Oryzias latipes: one gene and its partner. The protein of the gene in region 2 purifies or fractionates together with the protein of the main gene of each other region. This does not show direct contact. Links are inferred from orthologs where the notes say so. Each region holds a gene or a part of one and is shown on either strand. Other genes may lie near its edges. The genes, in order: timmdc1 and acad9.

The links.
Region 1: the proteins of acad9 (region 2) and timmdc1 purify together in Homo sapiens (affinity purification with mass spectrometry; 3 studies listed by BioGRID and IntAct, counting the BioPlex papers as one, with this or other methods). This does not show direct contact. The link is inferred for Oryzias latipes from reciprocal best matches to the Homo sapiens genes ACAD9 and TIMMDC1.

Annotation. Positions count from the first base shown.
Region 1 is NC_019860.2:16,685,948-16,698,879, reverse strand, and holds the start of timmdc1 (complex I assembly factor TIMMDC1, mitochondrial), read left to right. Parts: upstream 1-6,390; 5' UTR 6,391-6,555; intron 6,556-8,390; 5' UTR 8,391-8,411; coding exon 8,412-8,692; intron 8,693-8,858; coding exon 8,859-9,024; intron 9,025-11,247; coding exon 11,248-11,336; intron 11,337-11,685; coding exon 11,686-11,753; intron 11,754-12,407; coding exon 12,408-12,486; intron 12,487-12,932. Other genes in the region: poglut1 (protein O-glucosyltransferase 1), read left to right, coding at 582-651, 1,803-1,893, 1,976-2,119, 2,204-2,339, 2,415-2,536, 2,621-2,680, 3,640-3,739, 3,815-3,873 and 3 more.
Region 2 is NC_019863.2:25,295,488-25,306,804, reverse strand, and holds the end of acad9 (acyl-CoA dehydrogenase family member 9, mitochondrial), read right to left. Parts: intron 10,862-11,317; coding exon 10,755-10,861; intron 10,614-10,754; coding exon 10,513-10,613; intron 10,038-10,512; coding exon 9,959-10,037; intron 9,876-9,958; coding exon 9,704-9,875; intron 9,635-9,703; coding exon 9,561-9,634; intron 9,484-9,560; coding exon 9,408-9,483; intron 9,338-9,407; coding exon 9,267-9,337; intron 9,194-9,266; coding exon 9,074-9,193; intron 8,996-9,073; coding exon 8,867-8,995; intron 7,769-8,866; coding exon 7,689-7,768; intron 7,610-7,688; coding exon 7,483-7,609; intron 7,404-7,482; coding exon 7,326-7,403; intron 7,213-7,325; coding exon 7,084-7,212; intron 6,489-7,083; coding exon 6,416-6,488; intron 6,215-6,415; coding exon 6,114-6,214; 3' UTR 5,648-6,113; downstream 1-5,647. Other genes in the region: efcc1 (EF-hand and coiled-coil domain-containing protein 1), read right to left, coding at 1-197. UniProt on the Homo sapiens protein: As part of the MCIA complex, primarily participates in the assembly of the mitochondrial complex I and therefore plays a role in oxidative phosphorylation.

The DNA of each region.
Region 1 (12,932 bases), on a different chromosome or scaffold from region 2:
TCACAAAAGAGAGCTTTTTTCAACTGGATATTTTCATCTGCTCCAGATTCATCTCGATTTAATTTAAGAAAGAAATACTCAGATATGCTGTTTTAATTTTAAATTATTTTATTTTTATCCTCCATCGTGGGAAAAGAACATGTTAAAAACACCATTTTTGTTGGAGTGGCTCTTTAAATGAACAAAATATGATTAACCAAACAATTAAGTAATTATTTATTTAGAGAGTTTATCATTTTATGAACTGGTTTGCTTTAGAAATCAAACACACTACACAAAAAACTAGATTTAGTGCCAAAAAAGTAGATTTTACAAGGATGTTTTCTACTTTTTTATTATTAGAAATAGATGTATATCAAAAATTACATGTGTTCTCAATAAACTTTAAAATGTATATAATTATTTTACATGAATACATTTATTTGCGACTTTCTTCGACATTTTACGGCAAGAATTTCTTCTTTTTTGCGCCCACCGCCGCAGAAACGGTGGTCAGACAGAAGCAACAGAGCGCAGATCAGATCTATGCTTTTGTTTTCATTTATTTTTCTCTCCAGTCAAAGCTAATCAACGAGCAAGCGATGGAGTGCCGGTGTTTGTGGGTCTTTCATCTTCTGCTGATTTATGGCTTAAATTTAGGCGGTGCATCAGGTAATAACGTTTTTTTTTGTGTCTTTAAACCTACTTTTGAAAACAAGTTCTGATTGATTGAAAACACGACCTTTCGCTGCACGTCTTAAAGAAACTTAATGCTAAATGGCTAAAATGCTGGGGGGCTAAGCCGAGCTGAGCTGAGGCTGAGTGCTAACTTTTATGGAGGCTGGGATTGATTTTATGAATGAACATAGTGAAATTGTAACTACACGAGTGTGTTTATTCAGTGAACCAGACCTGCTTTGCCGACAGGAGTTTAGCACAAATCAGTGTAATCCCAACCATTTCACTTCTAAAGTTGGTTACAACGAGACAAAAAAAAGTTTATCTAAGATTTACTAGTATTTTATTATTTGCCTGTTTTATTGTAAAAGGTCAGTTTAAGCTCTTATTTTGAAGCTTTTTGATGAAGCCGGAATGTTCGTCTGCAGGGGCGTGTTTGGTCATTTTGCAGCTCGGGGCGACGCAAGTCCCCCCTGAAAAAAAAACGTTACATTTTTGTTAGTAGTTTTCTACCAAATGTAGCTTAAAAAAAGATGTTTTACTTTTTATTAATTGGGCCATTTTGTTAAAAAAAAAACTTTTTACAAATAACTAGTTTGAAATAAATTACTCGGTTTAGCCGTTAAGGGGCTTGCTTTAAGCTCGTCCCTATTTACTTTATTGAAAAATAATCTAATTTGTACAACGAAAGCAAACGTTCCAACTTTGGCTCCATTATGATGAATGCTATGAAATTTTGAAATAAACAAGATTTTTATTTAACGTTTAAGGATTAAAGTCGTATGTATAAGTGGTCATGACCTTTGAGCAACGTAAAAGTAAAGGATCATGTGACAACAGGTTTCTCCCATTTCTTATTAATATAGTTTACAAACTAAAGGAAGACCATTTAAAGTTGAAAGAACATGAAAAAAATCACAACTTTTGGATGATTAACTTTGCTAATAGCCTTTTAGCTAACTGAGTATCCTAGATGATGCTAAAAGGCTTAATGGTTAATTTTTATTGTAAAAATATGGTCTTTTGATCGATTCTGTTCAGTTTTTTTTGTTTGTTTTTTTGCTCAGCCATTGCAAAATTTGTTGCAAAAAGAAAAATAGGTGTAAAAACAACAACACAAATTTACGTCTGAACGTCTTCTTCAGCCCAAAAGTGGAAGAAAACCCGCGATCGTGTTTCTGCAGCGGTCGGGAGCTACGTCTCGTGTAGCTCTGTCAACTGCAGCTGTCATCTGAGGTGAGTTTTTTTTTTTTTTTCTTTCCGGTCTGCCTGCAGATCCAACATTTTCACAAAACTAACCAGCAGCTCTTGATTTCAGCGTTCTCCAACAGGACTTGCAGCCTTTCAGAGGTGGGATCTCAGAAAGCCTCATGGCTTCCACGGTTCAGCGAGGCATGGGCACCCACTACCAGATCATCCAACACAAGCTGTACAGAGAGCAGAACTGCATGTTCCCTGCAAGGTGCACCCACAGGAACCCGCTTTGCCTTTGATCTGGACGCCAAACGTCAGCACATGCTGATTGGTTCGTCTGGTTTTTTTTTAGGTGCAGCGGCGTGGAGCATTTCATCCTGGAGGTGATTGACCGTCTGCCGGACCTGGAGATGGTGGTAAACGTGAGGGATTACCCTCAGGTGCCGAACTGGATGAGCCCCGCCCTGCCGGTCCTCTCTTTCAGTAAGGTCAGGATCATGACGGGGGGCTTCTTCATGCCTCTAAACCTCTTTTGATAACCCGCGTTTGCTCGGACTGAACAGACTGCCGAGTACCAGGACATCATGTATCCCGCTTGGACGTTTTGGGAAGGTGGCCCCGCTGTGTGGCCCATATACCCCACCGGACTGGGGAGGTGGGACCTGATGAGGACGGATCTTAAAAAGTAAGATGGAGCGGCAGTGCGGACATCCTGGTAGCTGCGAATGTTATTTAAACGTTTGTGAAATTTCTCTTCTTGTGTCGACAGGTCTGCAGCTCAATGGCCCTGGAAAAAAAAGGAGCCCAAAGGATTCTTCAGAGGCTCCAGGTGGGTCAAGCTAACGGGTCATTTGGGACTTTTTACAAATCAAATCCGGTCCACTTTTCACATGTTTTCTGGGAAAAAACAGATTCAAGAAAAAGTTAATTAAACAAATTAAACAAAAAACTACAATAGAGTTTACCTACGTTGGTAAAATGTTGTTTTTTGCAGAAAGAACTTTTTTTTTATTAAAAGAAAAGCGGTTTTACTACCAAACTAAAGTTGCCTTGAAATAATAAATCCTTTAAAAAAATTAAAATGTATTTGATAAAATCTTAAACTAATTGAAATTATAATATTTTTTATGGCGATACCCAACCTTATCAAACACAACAGATTAATAAAACTTTGTTTTTCTATGTTAATACAACACAAAATATTTTTCTGAGGTTGCTGTTGCCTCATTTGGCCACTAGATTTCCTCGTTCTGTTTTAGAAAGAAAACTACAGCTGTGTCCAAATTCCCTAATAAAACTTATTTTACTATATAGCATTTTTTTCCGGGGTTATTGAATCTACAATTCCAAAATCCAGTGCCCTGAAAATTTCCCAGAAGTCTCTGCGAAAAACCAGTGTGCAATGATGCTCATAGACAGAAATGCATTGCATTGTTACGATTTATCATTTGGAAAAGAAAACATTACATTGATTAAAAAAAAAAATCCCAGGTTTTCATCATCAGAGCATCACATGTTCATTAATAGTTTTTGTAAAATGTTTTTTTTTATTAGGTTTTACTGGGTGATGTCATTTGAAACAATATTTTTTAGAAAAACAACAACAAAAAAGGTTTTTGTAGGGGCTAGTGAGATAATACAGATACAGTTTTCCGAGGTGGCGTCTCGGAAAATCGTGCTAGTTTTAGCAGGTTTTGCCCAAGAAATCCTTGTTTTTTTTTAACCTGTATAAAACATTTAGTCTTTCCAGAGTTCTGGATGACCTCACTAAGAACCTTTGTGTTGTAGAACCAGCTCGGAGCGCGATCCGCTCATCCTCCTGTCCAGAGAGGATCCAGAGCTGGTGGATGCAGAGTACACCAAGAACCAGGCCTGGAAGTCAGAGAAGGTCTGCTGGAGGGGGGCTGGAAGTCAGAAATAATTGGCACAGGGGTGGGATTTGATTGTTGTTTGTCTTTGACAGGATACACTGGGAAGACCTCCAGCTGCAGAGATCCCCCTGTTGGATCACTGCAAATACAAGTAAGCTGCACGCCCGACATCCAATCCCCCGCAGCTCTGGTGCATCCAACCACCTATGAACTTCTCCGACAGATATTTGTTCAACTTTCGCGGCGTGGCGGCCAGCTTCCGCCTCAAACACCTCTTCCTCTGCGGCTCCCTGGTCTTCCACGTCGGGGAAGAGTGGCAGGAGTTCTTCTACCCTCAGCTCAAGCCGTGGGTCCACTACATCCCAGTCAAGCAGGATCTGTCAGACGTTCGGTACGAGAAGCTCCGAAAGATTTTATTTTATTTTTTACCTTTTCGTCGGATTCTTAATAATATTTTTTTTTACTTTCAGAGGACTTTTACAGTTCGTCAAAGAGAACGATGATGTGGCACAAGAAATCGCAGAGAGGTAACCCTTCACTGTTTGTCTGAGTTTTCAAAGCCTCCACACAACTAAAAAAGACGTTTGCAGCAGACGCAGCGACTACAGATGTTTGAGTTCTGATCACTTCCTGATGGTATTGTGGTTTCACCATTATTATTATTATTATTTTTTATTCTCCTCATCGTCCTCAGAGGTCAGGAGTTCATCCTCCAGCACCTCCGCATGGAAGACGTCTCTTGTTACTGGGAGCAACTGCTGACCAACTTCAGCCACCTTCTTACCTACAGACCCAGCAGAAGGAAAAACTACAGTCAGATCGTCCACAAATCGCGGAAAACTGAGCTGTGAGGAAGAAACTCAGACGAACCGGGGGCAGCTTAGGCGGGAGACGGATGAATGTAACCGCCACTGTTTTTATTTCCCAAAACTCTATGTTCAGGATCTTTTTCGTTAGTTTTGTTTAGTTTTTTTTAAATAACTGTATTCGTTGATGAAACTTTGTTTGTCTGATTATCTTTGACTTTTTTTCCCTGCAGTTCCTTTGTCTGTAAACCTCTTTTTTTGTTTTTAAAGCTTAAATTCTCATCCCATATGTTTTTCCTAATTATCAAACCAGTAGAACTTGATTTATTTTGGTTTTACACTTAATAAAGAAACGTTTAAATGAATCATATTTTCTATATACCGTACTTTCACGGCTATATGGAACACTTAAGTCTTAGATTTTGTTCAGAGCGCCCTATGGAGCGGCCCTAATGTCTTGTTGCGTGACTCTGATAATGAGGACGTAGGAGAGGACAGCATGAGAACCGGAAGAAGGGAAGTGAGGACGTGAAAGAAGACCCCCCCCCCCCCCCCGAATAGTACAAAGGTGCAGGTACCCTGAAAATACTGCAAAGAGACACGATTATGAAGTGCAGTTGAAACTGCGAGCTATCAGCTACGCGGAGCATCATGGGAATTCAAGATGAATGAATCCATGGAGGAAGCTGATAAACTCTGACAAGTCAAGAAGAAGCAGCTGAGTTTCTGCGGAAACAAGGATTACCACAAAAACATGCTAATCCACGTTACATCTGCAGGTTTTTTTAATTCTAACAAAGTCCGCCGTATTTTAGATGCAAATTTCGGCCAATCGGATCAACCAGAAAGGTTACCGCCCCCTGAACACTGTGCGCAGGAGCGCCGCTCAGTCGATGCGGGGTCGCTCGGTCAGCATTGCGCTTGCGCGGTTGTGAGGTTTGCTAAAGTATGGAAGCATTTGTGTAGCATCATTAAAAATAAAAGTCAAAACCATAAACGCTTTTTTCATTTTCCGAATGAAGCTGCATTTTTTTTTCACTCGCTCAGTTATCTTTGTGCTTCATGGCAGCCATGTATGTAGCCATTAAACATCATACATGAGTTTAAAAAAACATCATTGAGCTTTTAGTTTATAACAAGCCATTTATCCTTCTTAAACGGTCAAAAGACGTTACCGACAGAAATAAAAAATCTATAAATAATAGGTTATATATAATCTGGACCTAAAGTTAGTATGAAATCTTCCGTTGTGCTTGAAATTGTATTAAAGTCAATTTGCACTTCCCACAAAGTTCTATTTTACAAAAGTAGAAAAGTCTAGAAAAAGTCTATTAAATCAGTTATAAAAATAAACAACCGTGTATATTATTCTTTTTTTTTCTTATTAAAGAGCTCAATTTTAATAGGAATTAATTGTTAAAGCTATCTAGAGTTGAAACACTAGCAAAGACAGCAGCAAGTTTCATTCTGACCTGACCTAAAAAGCTAATTCGTGTTGGGTTTTTTTTATTTAAAAGTGACTAAAATAATACTTTTCGGTTTACAATTAACTCAAAAGAACTTAGTATTTAGATCTATAGTTTTCCTACTGCAGGAACTTGTTTAATTTTTTCAGGTTTGTGTACTGATTTCAACATCACGGCGGTTTTTAGCAGAGTTTTCAATAAATAATTCAAAAGCATTTCATACTTTGATATCAAACTGATTAAAACACGTTTTATCATAAAAGTCTATGCAGGTATTTTCTTTTTATTTCATTTTTGCTGCCACGTATGAAAACTGATTGATTTCTCCAGTTTATTTTATACTTAGTCCTCCTAGCCGCAGGGGGCGCTGGCCACGATTGAAGTGCGCATGACAGCAGACATGCGCAGATGTGGGTTCTGCCTGCCAGCTCTGAGTGGAATGAGTGAACCCCTGAAGGAAGGTTATGGAAAGACAAACACATTAATGTGTTTAAATTATAGTTTGTAATTTACAAAGACTAACGCCCCTTTGTGGCGGGATTTCAATTGTAGCCGCTACTGGTAAGATTCTCTTTAATGCTGAAACTAAGAGTTAAATAAATGCCAGCCAATGCTAGCAAATGCTAACAATTAGCTCTATTAAAACTAATTTAAAAATCAATTCAACATTTCCGAGGCATTTTAACTTAATTAAATGTTAGTTTGTGGTTTTGTCGTTCGTTTGAGGAGCCTTTTCTATTTATTTTTTGGATATAAAATGTAACAAATTGGAGTTAAACCTCATAAACCCTTTTTGACTAATTTTAGGTGAAACATTTTGGAGCTTTTTCTCCAAAAATACTTGGGCAACGGAAGTAATTAAGCTAATAAAATGTGGAAATAGAAAAAATAGGTCAGTTTGTAATACTACACTGGCTGAAAATAAAGAAAACAGCCAAAATGGATACAAGTTGATTAGCTGGCAGTGTTAAATGTTCTTCTTTTTAGTAATTTGGTTTCCCTCTTAGTTTCATAGATTCTTAGCCTTCATGTTTTCCTGCTCCAGTACAAACACTGAGCTGATTGGTCAGTATTAGTTTCAGGTGTTTCTTAAAGCAGGAACTCAGGTAAAGATAATGCCCAGATATATTAGTGAAAATCACCTGTTTACTTTATTAAGGCAGATATTGTAAAAACATCATAGTATCATTCATTTCTGTCAATTAAAACAATAAATTCAAATATTTTAATGTCTTCAGAGACGTTTGGGGCGACTCAAATTAATCTTTAATGATGTGAAAATCAACTTTCTTTTTTTCCCCTCTAAAAACCATAAAATAATCCATAATTCTTGCTTTAAATGCAACCTTTTCAAATGTCACTAACTTTAAAATAATGACTAAACGAGGCTCCTGCTCGGTTTTCTGAAACCTTTACAAAATCAAGTGAAAATTGCTCAATTTGTGCTAATTATAATTACAGTTTTTACTAATACAGTTATTTTATTTGTTTACTCTGGAATCTTTTCACCTCCTTTTAGGAACTATTATGTCAAAAATATATTTTAATTATTTTTAAACCAAATTATGTTTTAATATTCTAAATAGATCTGATATATAGTTATTTATTTCATTTTTTATTTTTAAATCTTATTGATGAATTTGGCTGAATTGAACCAAATCACAGAATTAAAATCAACATGTAAGAGGTTGCTGTTACCCCATTTGGCCACCAGAGGTCCCTGTTTAATTTGAACCGTTGCCAGCCATTTGAAGCTTCATGCATCCTTGAATGTTCAGTTTTTTCCCCTTTTCAGTTGATATTCTGTAAAAGGGTAATTTTCTGCATTTTAAAGAAAATGTTTTTTGTCTTATTACTTATTTTCTTTGATGCGGTGTGGACTCTTCAGATCTAAATGTTAAATTTTCATCATAGGATTTACTTCAGGAAAACAGTTTTTTCACCCAAATTTTGTTTTTGCTGTAATTTTTTCTTTTACTATGGGTATATTTGCTAAAGCATGAAAACAGAGGGCATTTATTTTTGTTTATTTTGATTATTTATTTTAAAATCTTCAATACAGATATAAGGAATGATTTGTATGGCTGCTTTTCTTATTTATTTTATGAATGATAATTTTATGTTTTACTTATTCAATGTAAAATATGTTTTTACTCTGCTAAAAAGCAGAGTAGAATGAACCAAATTCAATAGATCTTTTTAATGTTTACCTTTTAAGCGGATAGCGTGAGGTTTCAGCCTCTTTACTCTTGAGTGTTTTGGCCGCCGCCTTTTCCAGCTGCTGAGTTTTGGACGCCGTGTGTGTTCCTGCCAGCGTTTTGTTTGCCCCCCAGCTGTTTGTTCTGAGAGTGCAGCCTTTCAGCCCACAACCATGTGTTTGTGAATCCCCACTGAAGCCTGGCGCCAGCTGAAGTGCGATGCGTCCAGATCAGCCGCTCAGACGGCGGGCAGATTCGCCTCCCCAGGGCGCGGCGAGCACCGGCCCGCCGCGGGGCTCCATCCGGACTGCGAGGCCTCGTTTTTTTGTCTGCTGCCTGCTCCCGAGGGTCCATGCAGCTGACATGACTGCTGGCCAGCATGCACAGACGTGCTCCTCCTCCTCCTCCTCTTCCTCGACCAGCACCCTGCCAGCTAACATTAGGAAGCCAGAACTTCCCGACACAGGATGGGGGCGCATCAGGGATCTGTTTGACAGAAAGTTTGTCTCCTTTTCTTTCCTCACATCTGTTTAATAAACACCTTTTAACATTTTAAACACATCTTCAGCATCAATTACATAAATGATAAATGAAATAAATGTAAATCAGACGCATTGTAACCCCTTCTGAACGTCTCGGGTGTCAAACTTGTGGGTCTCCCTGCAGTGACGTACAATCTTACCCGGAGGAGCTGACCAACCTGATCAAGCACGGGATCATCGGCGCCACCGCCGGCCTCCTCTACGGAGGCATCCCAGCTGCTCGCTTCGCCCGCCAGCGTTATATCCAAGTGAGCCAGGCGGAGTTGTACACCAGCCGAGTGGATGCAGTGGTAGGTTGATGTTCCCGATCAGTAGGCTTTTATTTTCTAAACTTTAATATTTGATAAGACAATTGACTTTATTAGCTTTTGCAGAGCTATGAGAACATTTACAGACCCTCTCTGGTGCAAATGGTGTGTTGAACATGTTCTTATGACATGTTTCCTCATGATAGAGGACATATATAAGCTTAAAGTAGCATTTCTAAGTATTTCTTTATTCAAATCTTTGTAAATAAGGAGCAGATGAAAAAATGCAGTTTGAAAAAGAGCAGTTTTGTGACGTAAAAAATACTCTGGGCGAGCCACGAGCTCCCTCTTCTGAGCTCTCATGAACAAGGAGGGGAAAAGGGGGCGGCGGGTGTGTCCCGGGCCAACGGTCCCGCCCACGTCTCAGACTACAGAAAACAAGAAAGGTTTTTTGATTTTTGGCAAAAATAATCATAATTCAACATCAGGCCAAGTGGTGCAACAACCTGGTTCTCAACAGCAACAAGTCAACTCATTGTGGACTTCAAGGAGGAGAAAAGAGGCTCACGTGACCCAGACAATATCAAGGCTCAGCAGCAGCTGTTCTTTTAAGGCTCCTCTAAAAGAGCCACCTCTTTCTGGTGAGCTTTTCCCGCCGCACAGTAGAGCGGATCCTTCGCAGCTGTGTGACAGTTTTTGGGATGGGAGCTGCTCTGCTGCAGAGCGGAAGCATCTATAGCGCAGGGGTCCCCAAATCCAGGCCTCGAGGGCCGCTGTCCTACATTGAAGCTCCTTATTGGCTAAACACACCTGATCCAGGTAATCGGCAGCAAATGAGGACACCGGCCCTCGAGGCCCCCTGCTTTAGCGGGAGGTGACGCGTCACAGGGGCTTCACTTCCAGCCATAGAGGACATTCAGAAGAAACGCACATAGTATTCTTTTTTGTTTAAAAATCACTTTTTATTTGTTTCCTTTTCCATTGTCTGATACTAGAACAACATTGAAACAGTCTGACATGAAACAAAACAAGGGGGAAAAATATAAAAACAGGTACTGGCTGCAAAAAAAAAGTTGGACCTTAAAAGTGACACAAGGTCTACGTTCACACTGCAGGGCCTTATGCTCAATTCCGATTTTTTTTTTGCAAGGCCGTTCACATTTCCAATTAAATCCGAATTTTTGTGATCTCCTGTGTGACTGTGGAATGACCCAGAAGTGACTCGCATGCGTAGAAGAGTCAACGGTGAACGACGTCACTTGTTGTCTGCCGAAGTAGCTAACGTTAACAATGGATGTCAACAACAGTGTTGTCAACAGCGGAGCTCTTTTTGCATTAATAAATTAATTTTCAAAAAGGAGCAGCACAATTACGATCTTCTTATTTTGAGAAGGCATTGGAGCCAGGATCGTCTGTACCCACTGTTGTGGAATGGGGATGTGAATGTGCTGGGGCCGTGTGTGTGTGTAAGAGAGAGCGTGTGCAGCGAGGTAGAGAATCGGGGGGCCGCGCATTCATTTTGTGTGTTACGAAGGAAGGAGAACGGTAATAAAATAAGGCTTCCCCCAGGATAAATGCTATTGACTCTTTATTAACCCGCTCTGGAGAATCTGAGGGTCCGAACAGGGAGGTGAACCCCGGAGGAGGATCCGCCTTCGGTCCCCTGCGCTTCTGACCACAGTCGGAAAGGGAAAAAAAAAAGTCATTGTGGGAAAGGTTCAACACCACGCTCGGCCATTTCACTGGAAAGTTTTTCAAAAACCGCCTGGTTGCGATAAGAGCCCTTGAGTTTGGCCTAAATAGAGCTGTCACCCCAAATATTAATCCAATCGGGGACATCGCTTCCCTTCCACTGACTGGTCTCAGCAGCATCGTCCGCCATGGTTGATGTTTACGTTCTCGTTGTCACTTTAAAAGTTTTTGTGGTTTAAAAAAAACAATAAAGATATTATTTTGATGTTTTTAAAGATGTTTTCTCTGCTAGATGGTGAGTTTAAATGCCGTTGAAACCAATTGGATCTTTGTGTGGGAAGAGTGACAAAAACAAATCAGTACATTAAGACGTACCAGATTCAAAAAATGTTGCGTTCTTTGTCATTTTCTTGTCTTTTTTTTCATTCATTTCCGACCAAAATGAAGATAATTCAATGTTTCAGTCTAAAACTAATGTTGACCACATGATGCAGAATTTGTACGATACACTTTAAATGTTCCACAAAAATAGTTTTAACGTCTGCTTTTTGTTTTTTATTCCTTTTTCTGTAGCGCTCTTCTCATAACGCAGCCATCCGTGCGTTTGTGCGTTACGGATGGAGGTGGAGCTGGAGAGTTTCTCTGATCGTCACTTTGTTCAGGTGAGCCGCCGGGAGATGATCCGCCAACGTGAGGTTTTAAGATTCAAACGGGGACACGTGTGGTCTGGAGAGACTCTGGCTTCAAATTAAACTCATGTTCTGTCCTTTGTGCCCATTCTTTATCCCTTCAGAGGCTGCATTTAGAACATTTCGTTAATTGACTTTACATTTTAGAGAAAGTGTGTCTTGTTAGTCTACAGTTAGGCTGTAGGCCCCTCCCACAAAAACATCTGACAGCCAGGACAAAAATACAGATTTTTTTTTTTACATAAACTGTTTGTTTTTGGTTAAAGGTTCAGAAGGTCTGGGACAATTTTCTGAGTGTTGTTGGTCTTGTCTCCCGCTGCAGTTCGGTCAGCACCGGCTTGTCCGTGTACCGAGACAAAGACGCCCTCAGCCACTACGTTGCAGCAGGAGGTGAGGACTGTCGGAGCAGAAGCTTCCTGCTCTTTCTAAACTTTAAAGACCCGCTCCAATGAAAACAGTGTTTTTTAACATGTTTTTGTAGTGCTTTTATTGGGATGGTGTGTACAGAAAATTTAGCTTAAAATTACATTTCTAAGTTTTATTTTATTCAAATCAGTGCTCCACTCCATTCATCCACTTGAAAATGTCCAAACTGGACGGCTGGATAGCTCCAATGTTGCTCGCCACTTTTTGTTGCACTGCTAAAAATGCAGGGTTGAGTGATATATTGCTGAATGAAAATCAAATCTTAAAGGGTAATAATTGGCACAGAAAAAATAAAATAAAGAAATGATTAAAGGTGACAAAGTGAAAACAGCTGAACAACAAAAAAGATATTTTAGTGAAAAATGCCAGCGCCGGGTATCGAACCAGCGAGTTTCCCCATGTGTTTCAATGGAGGCAAAAATCCTGGAATATCTTGAAAAGTTCAAGGATTTGAAGGACCAGAAGTCATAGCTAGAAAGAGCTGAACATTTTAATAAATGAATAAATGTTGAATGATTTAAAAAAAATGGCAGAAGATATAATAAAGAAACAGTAAAACGATGTCTTATTGCTGACTGTTCCTTCGCTAACTTCTCTTTATTTCTTCACGTTGAGAAGCTGCTACCGTTGGCCTCTTCCGGCTGAACCTGGGTCTTCGAGGGCTGGTGGCGGGGAGCGTCATCGGAGCGGTTCTGGGGTGAGTTAGACTGAGTCGACCCGCCTCGTTGCAGTTGAACGTCGTTGGCAGAAAACCTGCGTCTCTTCCTGATTGCGGCGAGCGATCTGGCAGCCAGCTGCTCCCCTCCCAGCGACCCTCTGCTAGCCAGCTGAGCTGACCCCCTCCCCCCCCCCTTCCCAAACTCCCGGGTCATTTCTCAGCGCCAGGGGGAGTCGTGTGCAGCGGAGGGGGGAGGGCCACGGCCTCAGCTGGCTCCCCACATGTGAACCATCACGAGTCCTAAAGCCTCCAGTTCTGCTCTGAGCTGCAGATTCAGTCTCTGTTGGCCCCCCTCCTCTTCATCAGCGTTCGTCTGAGTGACCGCCCACCTGGAGCGTTAGACGTGTGCGAACATCCAGGGCAGAGAAAGGAGTAAAGAGCGTCACGCTTCACCGCTCGCCTCCATGTCGTCACCGTTAAAAAAA
Region 2 (11,317 bases):
GCGCCTCGGTAGTCCAGGTGGTGGAAGATCTCCTGCAGATATTGATCCAGCCCGGTGGCCAGAACTATGATTTCGTTCTCGACCCCGCGGTCCAGTCCGTAGTGGTACGCCAGCGTGCTGACGATCCACTGCGTCCTGCGCGCGGGTCGGCCGTACGGGTCACTGCAGTCCGCCGCGTCCATGCCCGAACATTTCATCCGCGCTGCTGGATCAGACCCGCGGAGCGCAGAGGAACAGATATAAACGAGGACCCGCCCCCTCAAAGGCTGCGGGCGCGCGCACGACACCTAATTACCACCAGGTGTGTAAACGTTTCTCATGCGCTCGGGTCGAGCTCTAACGGTTCTCCAGCTTGAGGACAGGCACGCGCGCAATCCAAACTCCGCGCGCTCTTGAATCACGTAATTGTAGCTGCGCGAGCTGCTTTCCGCGTGCATGCAGGAGTGGATCTGGACTCTATGATCAATGACCCCCCCCCCCACATACATTTGCTCTCCCGAGGGGGTGCTGCTGGGGGCCAGGGGCAAAAGAAAGGGGCAAGGAGGCTTCAGCAATTCAGAGCTAAGCAGAGGTCACCAAGCTGCGACACAAACCGACTTAAGACAAACTCAAACTGTTTTAGTTGTGAGAATTTAATCCTGGATTAGTGCGGTGTTTTGTCTCTTGCAAAAGCAGTTATGGAAGTGAGTTAATAGTCTTTTCTGCGTTATTACACTGCTGAGGTTCTCTACTGCTGCTTTTCCAAAATATTTTGAAAGTTGAAAGAGAGTCATTAGTTTTCCTGACGGGACTTTTGCTGTGTGTTTCTTTAGGCTTGTGATTTGGTTTTTCTCCACAACAATCACAATGGTTCAAAACAATTTGAATTTTGATGCTCAACAGTTACTACCTGTGGCAGTGTTTGATATGGGCAAGGTGAGCGGTAGCCCAGGGCGACACATGATGGGGGCAGCATCTTCAGTGCCCGCAGTGTTACACATATGGAAATAGCTATGACAAACAAGAGACTTTCAGTTTTTATTCTGACATGCCTGCTTCAGCCTTTTATTATGACACAGCTGACACTGAACATCCACCAATCTCTTCATCCCCTCCCCTCTCCACACTTATAAAAAAAAAGGATGAAATAACTAAGAGTGAAACAACGTAAAATAGCCACATGAAAAGGCACTCAGGAAGAAGAAAAACCCGTGCTCAACCCAATTTCGACCAGAGCAGGCAATGGGGATTATTTCCCACAATTCCCCGCTCCGACACAGCAGACCCAACATGCACGTGACCACCGCCCTCTGCTGCAAGACACTCGCGCCCACACCTCTTTGAGTCTTTGGAACATAACAAGTCAAAAAATACGAGAGGGGGGGCAACTCACCAGTGCCTGGGTGAATCACACTAACACAGGTAATTGGGAGTCTTTTTCTCTCTAACAATCAACTCTATTTTTTTCTTCACTAGTCCTGTCCAACAGCTAAGCAAACAGATGAGAGCTGAAAGCCTTTTGTGTTGGACATATTTCACTTTTACAACGGGGGTTATGAATCTTATGATACACCAGATGTATATTTAAATAAACTCACTTTGTAATTTCAGCTAAACTTTATTCATGTTAATTATATTTGTAAATATTTTTTGTTGGACCGGACAGAAAAGAAAAGGAGGAAAGAAGAGAGAAGGATGACAGATAAGGGGGGGGGGATCATGAAGTGTCAGAAAGCAACAAGTTGCTGGAGCTTTATAATCACAACTGACAGGTTAAAATCTATGAAAAATCTCAAATGGGCGGGGCCTGTCCACACACACACTCAAAAGTTACAAACACACCTGTTGGCTCCAAAAGTGTTCACACACAAACAAGTTCAGGTTTTGAGGGCAGTGGCTGCCACCATCTGTATAGGAATTCAGCAAAGCAAACACCAGCTCCCAGAAAGGAACAATATTACTTTTGTCAGGGAAGGAGAGAAACCACAAGCACAGCGCAAGACCTCAACTGGGCTGCTAGCCTCAGCTCGTGACTGGAGATTACAGGTGGACCTGGGGAGAAAGCTGAAGTTTCCAGAGCAAATTGCAGAGACTTCCCTCAGGCCAGACCTGGTTTTAACATCAGACGCCACAAAGCAAGTGGTGCTGCTAGAACTTACAGTACCCTGGGAAGATCGGATGTGCGAGGCTAACGAGGGGAAGAGGACCAGATACTTGAACTGGTGGAGGCCTTTAGGATGAGTGGCTGGAGGGCACATTGTGAGCCATTTGAAGTGGGCTGCAGGGGTTTCCCAGGGCAATCCCTGCACTGAGTACTCAAGCTCCTGGGTATTCGAGGGTTGCAGGAGAGAAAAGCCACCAAAACCATCAGTGAGGCAGCAGAAAGAGCTTCTAGGTGGCTGTGGATCAAAAGGGCAGATTTGTGGTGTAGCGCTCCTCGGACACAAGCTGGGGACTGATCACCCCAGGCTAGGTCGCCCAGGTGAGGGTGTATGATGATCTAAGACCCAAAACACCCCGAGACCCTGGGTTCATCACTGAGGATGTGTCCGAGCTGCACCAGTTGGTGTATTTAGTTACACATGGACATACTACCGCTAACATAGTACAGGGCGACAGTGGCTCAGGTGGTTGAGCGGGTCGTCCAATGATCGAAGGGTTGGCGGTTCAATCCCCGCTCCCACCAGCCAAAATGTCGTTGTGTCCTTGGGTAAGACACTTCACCCTCCGTGGCTCCACTGGTGTGTGAATGTGTATGAATGTCCCGGTGATGGTCAGAGGGGCCATAGGCGCGAAATGGCAGCCACGCCTCTGTCAGTCTGCCCCAGGGCAGCTGTGGCTACAACCGTAGCTTACCATCACCAAGTATGAATGAGGAGTGAATGAATAATGGACACAATGTAAGCGCTTTGGGTGTCTTGAAAAGCGCAGATAAATCCAATCCATTATTATTATTAACATTCACACACGCTTACTTATGCATTCAGACTAACACGTGTGAAACATTTCATTCAGTCACGCAAACTGTTTGCGCAAAAGTGAGATAGCACCTGTGCTCAAGTCAGTGTTTATGTTCTTCTGGGGTGGATGATGGAACGTAAAAAGAGGGAGAGAACCCAGCCGCCCCCCTACCAAGGGCCCCACTGCAGCAGCAGCGGCAGCCGGGACCCCCCAACACCCGCACAGTACAGAAGATAGAGAAGCACCTCCTGCCGGGCAACCACATCCGCCACCCCGAGCAGGGCCAGCGGGACCGCCACAGCGGCCCCCAATGCCAGAGAGCAGGGGGGCGCAGGGGGTAGAGAGTGCAAGCACCAGCCCACCCTGTAGAGCAGCCTCCCCAGCGCACCCAGGGGGCACAACGAGGGGCCCGCCTCAGGGGGGCACCCCAAGCCCCAGACAGGCGGCCCACCACCTCCCAGGAGTCCTGAGCATCCCTCCGCCCCAGGAACGAGGCAGGGCCCCCCAGGGAAGACCCGCCCCCACGCTCCAGGCAGCCCCCCCCAGGCCACGGTCAGTCCAGGAGAGAGCAAGGCAGGGAGCGGCCACCCCGCCCGGGAGAAGAATGCCCAAGAGGATCAAGGGTCCCCAAGGGGTGCTATAAATATGGCCCGACCAGGCTTACCCGCAGTTGGAAAATACGAAGAAGGCCGGCGCCCAGGGGCCAGGACCAGAACCCATGCCACTGGGACACGGACACCCCCGGCTCAGATGTGATATGATCCCCGGCTCCCGGTCTTGCCAGAGAGCTCAGGGATTCCTCTCCCTGCGTGGAGAGAGGGCCGCCGGGCCCAGGAAGCCAGCACCCCAAGGACAGGGCCGCCGTGACAGAGGGCCCCGGTTCCCTCCACCAGGGTTAGGCCGGGGGACAGAAGATCAGAACTCTCTAACAATCAACTCTAGGCCGCAGCTGCGCTGCGCGCTCCCGTCATAGAGACGGTATGCAAGAAGGAAGGCGGGGGATGGGGGGGACTTTATGAGATCATAAATAAATTATAGATGTTTATGAATGGATTGAGGTTTTTTGGATGATTTTTACTGTTGGTGTTACACACAATTAGGGAAATGCCAAATAATTTTGGAGTAATCCCATTCATGAGTTCTATGATTTAGTTTTTAATGTTTTTTAAGACCTCAAAATGATATCCACAATAACAGTTTTTTTTTTTTAGATCCAATGCTTCTGATCTGTTTCACAAAGACACACACAGGACGTCACACACCAAGAAATGAACTGATTGATAAAAATGATGGAGGACTCCATCTCTAAAAAATTATAAGAGCAAAGAAAACAGAAAGACATGATTTCTTTTTCTTATTAATATTTCCAGGCTTTGTTTATTTTGTTTTGCGTGTTCATATTTGTATATTTTTGAGAGAATATATTTTTATGGAGAGCAAAATATTATACGTTATTAAAGGTTTAACTTGAGTTATTCTGGAGTTATGTTCCTGTCTGTTTTTAATTCATATTTATGTTCAATGATTTACGTTTTAAATGTTTAAAAGGTGTAAAAGTTTAGCTTTAGTATGTTCAGTAAATGTTTATGTTCTTCGGCCCAAAACCTAAAGCGTGTTACAAGTCTAGAAAATTCATGCATTTTTGTGTAAAATGACCAAATAAAAGATAGGGAACACAGGGGTGGGGGGTGGGGTGTTACTCGCCCAGGGAGTAAGTTAGTATAGAATAGAATAGAATATCATTATTTCTATAGCACTTTTCCCAGAACGAATCACAAAGTGCTTTAAAGAAAGCATAAAATCCTCTAAAAACACAAAAAGTAATAAAATACAATAATAATAATAATAAAACAAAACACAGTAAAACGTAGAAAAACAAGGACTAAAATTAACTAAAAGCTCTCCTGAATAAAAACTTCTTGACCTGAGATTTAAAACACACAAGGAGTCGATATTGACGCAACAACAGAGGGAGGGAGTTCCAAAGATGAGGAGCAACAGCTTGAAATGACAGCTCTCCTCTAGTTAGTGTAGAACCACCACTGGTTACTACTAAAGGGTATTTCAGGCCGGGTGTGTATTTGAAAGTTGTTTTAGCTTTGGATATTAATTAATTTTAGGCACTATGTTATGCATTTCCCTGTAAAGGCAAATAAATGAACGAATAAAACATTTAACAAGTTGCAGCTGGTTCTGTTTGTGCGTGTTGACTCAACAAGTAAAGGTTTGTGTCACACCTCACTCCTACAAACACCTGACGGAGCTAAATACAAATTTGTGCTAAATTCACCTGGAGTAATTGCTAATGTAGTATTAGTAATGAACTGTTTTACGGTTGTAATATATGAAAGCATATGTGTCTCATAATTCAAAATAAAGGTCAATACCAGAAATGCTTTTTCATTTAAACAGGTTAAAACCACATTTGCTGGCAGACAAATAGATGCATTAAGGGGAGAGACTGTTAAGAAAGGGATGATGGGATATCACCAGAGGCTTCCTTCCGTGCTTACAGTCCCGCCCACAACTCAGACCTCCTATCGTGCTACACAAAATATGTCCAAGAAAATGAGAGGTTTTTCATTTTGCTTAAAAACTGCATAAAGACCATTGGGGACAATTTACAACAGATCAAAAATATGAGTGGGACTTTAAATGATCCAGAAGCCTAAGTAGGGTCATTCACAGAGAATTTTGCTCTCAAATGTACAATTAAAAAATTCTTTAATGTTACATCATTTGAATCATACATTAAGTTACAATATTAAATCCATCTACAGATGTGAGAACCCTTTAGACGGTATGAATGCTTCGTTAGCTTGATGATGGGATTTTTTTTCTTTCCTTGTATAGCTCATGATGCTGGCTGTGGACTGGTGTTTTATCAGGCAGGATTGAGCAGAGATCCAATTAGATTTTTCTTGTACAAACATAAGGACACTCAAAGCTGTCCAATATTTAAGAGTTCATTAGAAATCTGTTCCATCCTCAAACTTCTCAATTTAGGGCACAAAAGGTTACAGACACTTGGGTCAGATTGATGGCTTTTTCTTGTTCCCAAACTCTGATCCATGTTAAAAACAGCTCGTCCACTGAATCATAGTAAAACAGTCATGTATGAAGAGCATCTGGGTGCAGATGGAGTGAAACAGCAGCTCTGCGGTGCAGGAACTTCAGAACGTCCTCTCCAGGGGGTGGGAGCAGATGTAGGCTCTGTTCTGCAGGACGTTCTGGGCGATCTTCTTGATGTTGGCGTCATTGTTCTCCGGAGAGTCTGGAATAGATTTACATGGGAGTTACAGAAAGCACTCTCACTTCTGGAGTGTGAGGTTCACGTCTGCGGTGAGCTCGGCATGAAACAAACATCAGAAGAAGAGGGAACAGAGAGGAGCCAGGGGTGGAGGAAAACCCACAACACATGGGAGTCTTTTACAGCTGGGGCCTGTTCTCAATTACAGCTTCATGTTTGACTCACGTTTCTCCAGCTGAACCATCCAGTAGTTGTTTTTGAAATAGGCGTCGCTGCAAAAAGTGTTTGCGAGGAGCACCTGGAAAACAAACAAAGCAGCAGAGTGAAAATGGAGAGAAAGGCAAAGTCTGCAGCTGCATGACAGCAAAGATTCTCAGAAGCAGGCGAGGAGATCAGAGGTCTGCAGGTGAGGACACTTCAGGACGGGCTGGCATGGTCTCCATGGTGCCTCCTCCCTGACACACAAACATCTGCTGACTTTCAACACTCACAACTCCCTAAATTCGGGTTTCTTACCCACAGCACCCCCTAGTGTCCACCTCAATAATAGTTACTGAGCACAAATACTTTTAGGTTCAGTTTATTTGTTAAAGCACTACCCAGAAGACTATTATAATCTATTTTTTTCCAGATCATTCCACAAAGACCAGATTGTAAAACTGTAGTTTAAGAACTCTGAACACCAGGTTAATGGAAGACTCTTCAGTGTAATCCTCAATCACCAAGTAATCTCACAGCTTCATTCTAGAGCAGGTTTTCTGCACAGTGAATCAGTTGTCTCACAGTTCCACACAGTTCTCTGAGCATGCCCAGTGGGGGTTAGCTCCACTAGCTTCCTATGATCCTGTGTGGAAAGTAGTTTGCTTCTAACTCTGCGTTTGTGGTGTGCATACCTCGTGGTCGTGGTTCCTGAGGCCGATGCTGATGGAGCGGCTGGCTCTGGAAAGGACGGCGGTCATGGCATATAGGTTGATCATCACATCTGCAACTTTCTTCAGGATGAGCTGCTCGTCCACGATAGTCTGAGGAAAAATGAATCCAGATCAGTCACGTCATGGCTCAAAGCTTCAGCAGAAACCCTCATCCCTGCAGAGCAGATTAAACCCTTGAAAGGCTTCATTTAGATCAGTGTTACCTTTCCATATCTGTACAGCAGACCCTCCACTGTTGTTCCAAAAAGGTGGACGTTCTGCTCAAATTTCTTTGCACTTTCCTTCAAACAAAAAGCAAAAATGACAGAGGAGTGGATGGACTGCAAGATCACACCAACATGCCACAGGGGGAGACTTTACCTCCAGGCTGGGGTGCACCACACCGTCCTTCCCCGTCAGACCCAAGTCCACGGAGCCTCCATAGAAGTTCCTCATTTTCTTACCAAACATGCCCATGACCGTACCGATGTTTCCTTTCTTCATCTCCCTGCAGACAAAAAGCAGGGCTGGAGCTGCGTTCGTTTCTGATGGCTGCAGTTTCTGCACCCATCGGTTAGAAGACGTACTTGATTTTCCCTGTGAGGACTTTGCCGGCGTGCTGCATCCCTGTGAGGGCGACGTACATCCTCAGGATCTCGTTCGTGCCCTGCAGACACACACAGAAAGATAAGAAGGACCAGCCTGCTCTGTGTGGAAGTATGTGTCAAATAAAGCAACATAAAAAGAGAAAACTACATATGATGATGTAAACAGCTGAAACTTCGCTGACAGATGAGGAGATTGCAGTCTTGATGGGGAAACACTTTTGAGGCATTTATTAATAATTTCCACTTTATCGCACCAGATGTCAACGACATCCCTACAGCTGATGATTCCTGCTGATGACATGCGCCTGACGTCTTCAGCTGGGGGAAGCGGAGCCACTACAATCCAGTGACCCACAGTTTCAAGCACAGATGTAGTTTACATGTAACTGAAGAAACAAGGTCTGAATTCCCTCACTACTCACTATATGGTGCGTTAGCATTTTGTATTACAAAATAATAATTCAAAATCCTAGAAATTTCCCAGAAGTCTCTGTGAAAACTAGTGGGCATTGTTGCATTAAAACTAGGGCTCTAGTCCTGCACTATATCATATTTTATGGGTTAGGGAGAAGTGAGGAAATTCAGACATAGCCTAGGTGTTTGACATGTTTTGCTGAATATTTGAGACATCAAAACTAATACTGGTAGTTCCCAGTTTGGTTTTTACTGTGTGGTCTCTTGCACGATCTCCATCAGCTTCACAGCACTGAGAGCTTAATTGCATTAATAGTCATTGCATAAGAACCTAATGACTGATAGAAAATGCCTGTTAAAAGTGGTGATAAAATGTTCGTGTGATTCATGACTGAATTGCTGTAATATTTTATTTTTTTGTCGCCAAATGTCTAATTTAGCAGTCCTTGTACAGGTTTGCTCACTGCGCACGGAAGCAATGTCTCCAGCATATATTTTTCCTACACCAGTGTTTACATTAAGCTTTGTAAATGGCGATGTCCACCTGCGTTCCTTAACTTTTTTGCGTGTAGAAACTGACATAAATAAGGCTTCTGGTCAGCTCTGAGGCCCCAGTTTCTCCTGAGATTCGGGGAAATCCTGATGTTCAGCTTGGACAGTTTTTAGTACAGGACACCCAGAGGCTGCACTGATCGGATCCTGAACAGTGACACCTGCATACTGCAGCCCTGCCTCATCTTTACCTCAAAGATGGGTAGGATGCGGCAGTCCCTGACGAAGCGCTCATACGGGTAGTTCTTGGTGTAACCCAGACCTCCGAGGACCTGCAGAGCCTCGCTGACGCAGATCCAGCCTCCCTCTGAGCTGAACACCTGCGCGGCACAGAGACATCAGGGTGGGGCTCAAGCCTAGCACGAAATAGAGCACAGGAGGGGGGAGGCTGCATCTACCTTGACCATGGCAGCTTCCAGAGAACAATCTGGAACTCCAGGTCTATCCATCATTCCTGCAGTCAGGTAAGCCATGCTCTCCATCACAAAGGCATTGATGGCCATCAAGGCAAACTTCTCCTGCAGAAACACATGAGGACTTTTTAGCTTGGGTGTTAGCTGCTTTATTACAGTGAGGAGGCTGACAGCATACCTGGATCAGGCCAAACTCACTAAGGCTTTTGTTAAACTGCTTCCTGGTGGCGGCGTACTCAGAGGCCATCTCTGCGGAGAGAATATATAGAAATGCAGAGACTTCGAAAAGCACCACAACCTTCAGAGAATATCTGCTTACCGATCAGCTTTTTGATCATTCCGGCACAGGAGCTGCCCATGCTGAACCTTCCAGAGTTCAGGATGTTCATGGCGATCTGTTCATCACAAAGCTCCCATTAATGACCGACAAACACCTTCAACTGGTCAGGCTGCAGAGCAGGGCACAGTTTACCTTGAATCCTCCTCCAATCTCACCAATTACATTCTCCACCGGCACCGGCACATTGTCAAAGGACACCTCACAAGCTGGAAGTAGAACCAAAGCTCAGCTTCACAGACCCGACAAAGCTTGGAGTCCAACTCCGCCCCACTTACTGTTGGATCCCCGGATGCCCAGCTTGTCCTCTGGCTTGCCGCTGGTTATCCCCCCAAAAGCCCTCTCAACAATAAAGGCTGAGATTTTGTCTTTTTTGACTCCGTCCACCTCCACCTCAGTGCGAGCGAACACTGTCATGATGTCCGCCATCCCTCCGTTTGAGATCCAGAACTGACAGACAAAAGAGGAAGCTCAACACACCTACATGTAAAAAAAACAAACACGTGCACCCATGTGAGCGTCCACCGTCTCACCTTGGAACCGTTGATCAGGTAATGTTTTCCATCTTCAGACAGGGTAGCTCGAGTCTGAATGGAGGCCGCATCACTCCCACTGTAACACCAGATAACAGTCAGCCACGTGCACACAAACGTGCACTGTCATGTGCACAGACAATTCAGTGTTCTATTCCCTGAGTGCATAAAACTGTAATGTTTGTTTTGGGAAATTCAGACATGAAAAAAATTGTTTAAACTTTTATTTTGAAAATTTAAGTTAAAATGATGTTAATCGTTTGATCCAGACTCTTCCTAACAGGGTGACAAAGAAAAAATAGAAAGACGCTAAAGTGTTTTGTTGTAGAGGAAAGATTATTAAGATATACGACTACTTTCCTTCGAAATAAAAGCCTGTGTACTTTCAGTGAGATAAAAAGATGTGTGTGGGGGGGGGGGGGGGGGGGGGGCTGTGTGTACATGCATTCTCTCTGTTACTGCTGGCAGATATTCCCGTGCTCCATCACCTCTTTGCTGTCGGGCTGTGAGCAGAAACACGAATGAAGCTCCACAGAAAGGTTGGATGCTTTTACCTCCCAGGCTCTGTCAGGCAGAAGGCTGCCACGTGCTCTCCTGATGCCAGCTTGGGTAGATACTTCTTCTTCTGAGCCTCCGTTCCCGCCAACAGAATGCCCTGAAATTCCGGTCAACAAAGTCAGAGAGTTTCCAGCAGTAGTCCGGGGTTGCTCAGTAGAATCCCAGGGAGCTCAGACATGTCATCTTAACGTCTGAAAAGGCATTTGGGTGAAACTTTGCTTCAGAGCTGCACCTTCACCTTCAATCCGATGGCTTGATGAGCAGCCAGAGTCACAGCGATGGAACCATCTAAGGCGATGATCTCGTTCAGACGGGCGTAGGTGGTGTTGGACAATCCCAGACCACCTAAAGGGAAGGAATACAGCACGGACGTGTAAACATCAGGAGTTCAGAGAAATTCCAATGGCTGTACTGAACAGGACAAACCTGTTACCTTTGTGTAACTACACCATTTAATTCACATTCAAATTTATTTATAGAACACTTTTCCTGCTAGCCAACACCTAAAAGTGCTTTACATAAAATTAAGAAATAATAAAAATACTAGTAAAAATACTAACCATAATTGAAAAAAAAACACACATTCTACAAAAACATCCAATTAAATCAAATCAAAACATAAGGAAATATGAAAAAAAAACAAAATAAAGAAAAGCTAAATAGATGAATTTTGAGTTTTTTTTAAAAAAAAAACTCCACAGTGGGTGAAGCCCTCAAATTCTGAGGCAGGCCTCTCCACAGGCTTCGCCGAGGAATTTTGTTCAGACCTGTGGAACCCAGCTGACCTACACCTGACCACCT